2 linked regions of the Coturnix japonica genome follow. The protein of the gene in region 1 interacts with the protein of each later gene in a biochemical or structural test. Links are inferred from orthologs where the notes say so. Each region holds a gene or a part of one and is shown on either strand. Other genes may lie near its edges.

The links.
Region 2: the proteins of ARHGEF12 (region 1) and IGF1R form a complex in vitro, tested with the Homo sapiens proteins (2 studies listed by BioGRID and IntAct, with this or other methods). The link is inferred for Coturnix japonica from reciprocal best matches to the Homo sapiens genes ARHGEF12 and IGF1R.

The regions. Positions count from the first base shown.
Region 1 is NC_029539.1:3,194,394-3,198,088, reverse strand, and holds the start of ARHGEF12 (rho guanine nucleotide exchange factor 12), read left to right. Parts: upstream 1-870; 5' UTR 871-1,386; coding exon 1,387-1,418; intron 1,419-3,695. UniProt on the Homo sapiens protein: May play a role in the regulation of RhoA GTPase by guanine nucleotide-binding alpha-12 (GNA12) and alpha-13 (GNA13). Acts as guanine nucleotide exchange factor (GEF) for RhoA GTPase and may act as GTPase-activating protein (GAP) for GNA12 and GNA13.
Region 2 is NC_029525.1:15,115,506-15,119,157, forward strand, and holds part of IGF1R (insulin-like growth factor 1 receptor), read right to left. Parts: coding exon 3,628-3,652; intron 2,754-3,627; coding exon of another isoform or gene 2,751-2,753; coding exon 2,648-2,750; intron 1,318-2,647; coding exon 1,247-1,317; intron 761-1,246; coding exon 531-760; intron 245-530; coding exon 134-244; intron 1-133. UniProt on the Homo sapiens protein: Receptor tyrosine kinase which mediates actions of insulin-like growth factor 1 (IGF1). Binds IGF1 with high affinity and IGF2 and insulin (INS) with a lower affinity. The activated IGF1R is involved in cell growth and survival control.

The DNA.
Region 1 (3,695 bases):
GGATCTGTCCTTATCTTCCCACCTTTTAAGGCAGTTGATAGGACTCAGCATTCCTCCTGAGCTGAGATGTTCCAGGCTCTAATAGCTGGGATAGAGTGCTGGGATTCAGCCCCATAGCTTTAATGGGGGTCCAGGTTCAGATGGCAGCACTAACCCTAATTGTGGGGCACTGCAGCCACAAACCAAAATCCATTCGAATTGCTACCGCCCAGCATAATTGCTTATTGATTCCCCCCAAAGAATTAAAGCAATAAAGAAGTGCTGAGGCCTAATATGTCAATGCCAACCAGTGAGATGGATCTCCCAACCCTCTTTGGGTGCACAGAGGGGTTTATTGCATTGAAGGTGCAGAAATGAGCTGTAATGGGTACGGGCTCTCAGTGTTGGAGGTTCTGATGGATTCACGTCAGCACTCTCCTATTTTTCCTCTTTCTCCCCCCAAAAGGAAGCCGGGGAAGGAAGCACAGATTGCTCAGTACCATTTACACCATGATTTCATCCCACTTCCCCTCTTTACACCAAACTTCTCCAAAACAACAAAGCTCTCCCATCCTCCGGCACCTCTCACTTCTCTCCCTACATCCTCAACACCCCGAATTGGGGCAAAACCATTCCATTTCCAACCAGAAAGCTGCAGAATTACCTATATTTAGGAAGCCATACTTCACAAGGACCGAAAGAAATCTCCATCATCTCCTTCTCCAGAAAGTTTTATTTCAACTCCATCTTCAAAATGACTCTTTCGTGCCTCTTATGCTTTACTTTGAAGGTTGCTTTGGAGATAATTACCCAGATAATATGACAAGTCGGATTTCTTTAAGCAGGCGGAGGGATACAGCGGAGGAGGAGTTATTTTACCTCTCTCAGCGCAGGCTCCGTCTCTCCCAGCCGCCGGAACAGGAGGGGCGCGGCTCGCTGTGTGTCCCTCAGCCCAGCAGGACTTTGCCCGTAGAAACACAGGCCGAAAAGAGAACGGGGACATCGGGCTTCTCTGCGCTACGAGCCGGCCATGGCCCCCAGGGCCTAAAGGAGGCGGCAGGCAGCGGCCTAACCCCCCCCGCCCTGCCCGCCCCGCTCGGGCCGACCGGCGGGCGGTGGGTCGGGGCGGGCGGTTGCGGGTATGGGCGGCCTGCAGGGAGCACCGCACAGCGAGCGGAGCTTCCCTTGTTTGTGGGCTTTTTGATGAAGTTTGGCGTTGTTTTTTTTTCCCTTTGGATATTTAGTACGCCAAAAGTTGGGGATTTTTTATTTTTTTTCCCCTTTTTTTCTGTTTTTTTTTTTTTGCCCTTTTCTGAGGTGTTTTTCTCAGTGCGGGGGCCGCACTGACAGCCCCGCAGTGATCGTACCATGTAAATTGGATAACACGAGCTCTGGGCAGAGGCTCCAATGAGTGGCACACAGCCCGCAACCACGGACAGGTCAGTAGTTGGGAATCGCTCTTATTCCGGGCTTTGATTCGGGTGACAGCGCTTAAAGATGGGCTCTGAAAGCGAGATGGGATGGGGGGTTTATAGGGGTTGCTTTGGGATGTGTAGGGCTTCTGTCCTGCTGTTTCTTGGTGTCTTATAGAGTCGGTAGAGCAACTAGCACTGAGTGCTGCCCATAGATGTGCAGCCATCCATCCCTGCTGCAGCTGGGGTCAGCCCAGGTGAGGCTGCACTGTGCCCCTCCTGCCTTCCATAGCTTATCATTGGGAGGGTGGAAGAATGGGTTTTCTATCTCAAAGACACATCAGTGGCGTGGGGATGGGGCTATAGGTGCCATAGGGAGCTTGTGGTGAGCTGGGGGCCACATCCATGCTTCACATGTGTCCCTTCTGATGGGTTTTGTGCTGGGAGATGAGCTGGATAAAGACACCGAGCCTTTTTTCCCCTCTGTCACAGTGTATATGTATTAATATAGGCAGGTATGTGTTCCTGAGTTGCAGGCTGCTATCACATGTGTGAGACAGGTTAGAGCAGCATTGGGATTCTTATAAGCAGGGCGGCTGAGCGCTGCGTGAGGATGGAGAGCTGAACTCGCTGCTTGGGAACAACAAAATACTTTCCATTATTGAATTGGAATGGGCAAATTGAAAACGGAGCACAGCCCAAAAGGGGGGGGGGGGGAAGAAGTCTCCATTTCCTTTTGCGTTCGGTCACGTGGAGGGGATGTTTGTGTTCAGTGCTGTGCTCAGAGGACCTTTAATGCCAGGTAAGGTGCCCAATATCTGTATTGCCTCTTTACGTCTGGCTCTCGAGGGTGGAATAGAAAGCAGGTGCAATAGAAATAAACCTGACGCTTTGGGTGTCGTTAGAGCCGCACATGTCATGTGATGGGGTTAATTCTCCCTTTATTTATCAGTGACCTTCCTCAGGTTGGGAGCTGCCTTAAGAACATAACAACAAAACTCAGCTTGCATCTGTGCCAAAGGTGTTTGGAGCATAACACAGGGCCTGCTCTTTTCTCCACGTGAGCTTTGAATACTTGTCTTAAGAGTCTACACAAACCTATAAGGCAGCAGGTTGCACTTGTCCCATCCTCAGTGTGTCCTGTGTCTTCTTGGAGGTGGTGTGATGTATGGCAGTAAAGCACACGTGAATCAGAAGGGAAGTAAAAATGGCCATTGCTGGTGGTGTGATAAATGGCATTCTCATTAATGGGATTTCTATTTGGTCTCGTGGTGTTTGCTTCTTTTTCCCAGTGGATCTCAGTATCTGAGACTGAAATTGTCTGATAGGGGCCATTCCTGACCAGCTCCTCTGCTGCTGGAGATAGAAGGTGATCTTATAAAGTAATTCTAGAGGTTAGAAATGAACACACGAGCAGAAAGCAGCCCATGATGGCAGTGGTGTGAGCAGTGCAGGGTTCCCAGCCCTCACATTCACTTCCTCCTTCTCTCAGGAAGTTCTTTGACTTTCTCAGCTGCTGCTTTTCATAACCCAGCAGCTCGGATCTCACGGTTCATCTGCAGCCTCACTGCTCTGACGCTTCGTGTTTGCAAACACTTACACCCTCTTAATGTAATACTCTCCTTGCTGAGCTTGTGTTTGTTCAGAGGGTGGCATTTCTCTTAAGCCAGTAAGTCTTGGGGTGGGCATCTGCACTTGGGCTCTTAAAGTTGATGAGGGAAAACAGGGCCATTGAGGGGACATACAGGAGGTGTCAGGGGTTGATAGAGCACCTTCTCTTCCATTCTGGATACAGGAGGGGTTTGCTGTGCTCCTGTCTTATTACTTGGCTGCATTTCTAGTGCTGGGGTTGGAGATGGGGTCAGTCTGTGCTCTGAGGACCCCACAGTGGGTACAGCATTGGGCTGCCAGTGCTGGAGGGGGGCTGTGTGCCATGGGGAGGGGGCTGCCCCACTGTGCTGCCTTGGGGCATTGCTGGTGATGCATGGAGGGGTGAGATAAGGGCTGTGTTCTTTGCAAGGGCGTGCTGGGCTGGGATGGAGCTCAGCCATTTGCAGGCTCTGGTTGGTTGCTGAAGGATGATCACGCTGCTGCTATATCCTGTTATGACACCGAAGAAACATTAGTGTGCCATTAATATATATGTATGTTTGTCTCACAGTGTTTTTTTCTCCCTGTAATAGTTCTAAATGTGCTGCAGAGTGAAGCAATTGCTGGGTGCAGGACTCACCCCTGCTCTCTGCTGGAGCTCTCTGAAGGATGGATGCTCTTAGAGCATCTTGTGGGGCACTGGGAGCCTTTCTC
Region 2 (3,652 bases), on another chromosome or scaffold:
GGCAGCGTGTTTTGTTCTTAGAGCTTAAGGACAAGGGCAAGAAAGGCTAATTGCCTGCTGCTTCTGACATGATGCCTTTTTGCTCAAGATGATTTTGAGTGAAGAAATAATAATAAAACAAGTCATGACTCACCTCTGTGTCTGGCCTCAATGATCTCAGATAACTTTTGAGGTCCCCACGTGTCATCAGCTCCATGATAACTAGGGTAGGCTGGCCCTGAGAAACAACACCTAGCAGGCGAACCTGGAAGAGGAAAAACAAACGCTCAGCTACAGATCCCACTAACTGAACTGCAGTAAGCATTTATTCATGTGATACATAGCCCCAGACACCCATGAAACAGTAGGAAATGTCTGGAAGCAGACTTGCTTTCTCTCTGACTCCTGCTGAACAGCAGTATTCTAATGCTTATGAGTTGAAGCTAAAACCCAAGCACCCCTTCAGCCAGTGAGGACATGCCCCGAACACCCTCCTGCTGTTAAAGCACCACGGCCTTATCAGTCCATCTCGTTACAGGTTCAAGACTTACCACATGGTGACAATTGAACTCCTTCATCACAGAGGCCTCGTTTAAGAACTCTATTCTCTCACGCATGCTTGCAGACTCATTGACCGTTTTGATGGCCACCCGGGTCTCCGGCTCATCCTTCACCACTCCCTTGGCTATTCCCTCATACACCATCCCAAAGGAGCCTTGCCCAAGCTCCCGGCACATCGTGATCTTCTCGCGGGGCACCTCCCATTCATCTGGAACGTACACTAAGCAGAGAGAGAACATGCCATCACATTCTGTTTTCCTAACTACTGGGATTGCTTTATGATATCAACTGTCTGAACAACTTTACTGTAAGCAAAGCTGGACATCATTTTACGACCCTGAATCATGCATGTAAAAATGATACTTAGCACACAAATACATCTTAAAAGGAACCTTAAAAGAATGCAAAGGGACTGGCAGAATGGGATAAAAAATAAGAAACCTACTGCTCACAACCAGGGTAATTCAGGAAACCCACCCAAGTTAATCTCAGCTGAATAAACTACAGGAAAAACTTCAGAAACTCCCCGCTTTCAATAGGCAGACAACATTCACATACAACTGCCTATTAATTAACTATGGGTGTGCAGATACAATGAAGAGAAAGAGGTTTTACCACATCCCTTTGTCAGTGTTTCATACCTTCCCAAACCAGACACAAACAGAGCACACAGAACTGAGAGCACAGAGGCTCAGCCCACACTTACCGTCCGAAGCACTGAAGTACTCAGGGTTCACAGACGCATACAGCACTCCGTTGCCCAGTCTGTCACTGTTCCTGTTGAAATACATTATTTTTTTTTCTTTTTTAATCTTTGAGCTCAAGTAATTGCAGACTGCCTATTCTACAGCTTTTCCACTGTTTGCTCAATCACGAAGTATTTACTGTAGGTGGAGAGCTTTTCAGAGAAAGAAGACAAATCACGTTCTTATTCTACTTCACATAATCAGTGGGAAAACAGCTCAGAACATTTTTCCCAAGAAACCTGCAGTCTTCTCTGCTGCTGATGTGGTACAGAGAAGTGTAAACACACGGTACTTTCAGCTGCTAGGCAAACTTCCTTTAAGAAAGGCAGCTGTGCACTGATACACCCAGGAGACGTATGGCTTTAACATCACCTGCTTTTTACTGTGAGGCAGAAGTGAGCTAGCAAAGAACAAGGTGTTTTTTTTCATTCGGGTTTCTGTTCCACTACTTTATAAATTGCTTCTATTATTTTACTTTCCTGGTGTGATTTTCAGAATAAGACGTTTATTGAGAGTTGTAGGAGTTCTTGCAGGGGGCAAAGCTGTACAAATAAAATTAATAATCAGACCTCAGAAAACCAAAGAAAACATTTTTGTGTGCTAGAACAACAGCTTAAAGAAGGATGGGGTATCAGTTGCTCCACTCTGAAAAGGACATGGGAAGGCCAGCAGGTACCTCACTTCACTAGAGGCAAAGCCGTTTCTGTAGTGCTTGGGAACTGGGATGACAGCGTGCACACAAAGGGATGAGAGCTGGGACACTCAATGGGCATAATTTAAAAGTATGTGTAACAAAAGCCTGCATGCTTAAAAAGTTGCAAGACTGAACATTTGCACTGACTTCTGCTAAGTTCTCATTATGTATTTCAATTACATTAAAAAAAAATCCCTAGTTATTAAAGTACAATACTAAGGAAATCAAATCAATTGAGTGTTCTGTCCAGCATATAAATATTTGTATGTGTATGGAAGGAACTGAAAAATAAAACAACTTCAGAATCTGCAAGAAACCAAATTAATCTCATGTGAGTGAAGTTTACAGAGCAACCTGCATTTCAAAGCACCTGATTATAAAGGTTCAGCATCTGCCATCACTGTCCCAGTTCCTGACAACCCTTCTTCTGCCCTTTCAAACACGATCCTGTAATAAAAAGCCCCTTTGAATCCCAAGCAGCAGGCAGATAATGGCTGGTAACTCTACACCACCTCCTTCTACACACCAACAAGGCAGAATCCACTTTAGCTTCTCAAGTACTCTGAAAGCTATTTCACTTCTTATTTTCTAACTTGCTCCACAGACACAGATTTGAAAATAAGCATTCCCTTCCTACAGTTTGGCTTTAACCACAAGTGTAACTCACCTCTTCTTGTTAAAGACATACAGCATTATCAGCAAACCCCCAATGATGAGCAGGAAAGCAATGGGGAGCACAATTATCAAATGGAGGAAGTTGTCATAGTTTGCTGCTGCAACCAACAAGAAAACAATTGTATTAAGGTTTCTATAAAATCTCCATTAACAAAGAAACATTCAAAACCCACTCAGTATATTTCCATACATGGGAGAAATCAAAGTACTCATTTTCTTGTCTGATGTGGAAAAATGTACTCAGAAACACGCCCTGACTGCAGATGAGTGGAATAAGAGAACAGAGAGTGAAAAGCCTCAGCTTTGTACAGAACAGCGTCTGTCAGGAGTTTGGTTTCACATGTTATGCTTGAAGACTTACATTCCTTAGTGAACAATACTGAGCTGTTCACTTGTATATCAACCTTTATTTTCCACCACCTTTTGTTCACCTTGCCATTGCTCGTACTTCAGAAGATATTCACGTTGGTTCATCAGATTCCGACAATTAGAAAAACAAGAATGAATAAAAGATGGAGGCTGACTTTCTGTGGACACAGCTGATTTTCAGCTAAACACAGATGTTCCCGAGATGGTCTCTGTGTACCCTGTACAGAGCTATTCCAAAACCTGAATCGCTGCCATTCTCAGGGGCAGTATCCCTCTTTCATCAGTCTTTATCACAACATTCCTAACATCAATTCTAAAGTACAAAAAATCATACTGAGTTAAATAAAATCTGCCAGGCCATATTCTTAGCAAATCACTGGTTCTTACATCACTTTGTAACTCAAAGTAGGTGATTATCACAGGTTCTGCACCATTCAGCTCCAGTATTTAACTCCTAACATTACACTGGGCTATAAGGTGGACATCAAAGGGAGTGGCAGCAGTGTGCATCAACAGGCAGGAGTATTCACAGTAATGTAAACCTTAGGACTATTCAAAAAGGCAAGTCCCCAGTTTGACACAGCCAAGCAATACTGGTCTTACATTTGGGTTGTACATAGAAAGAGAC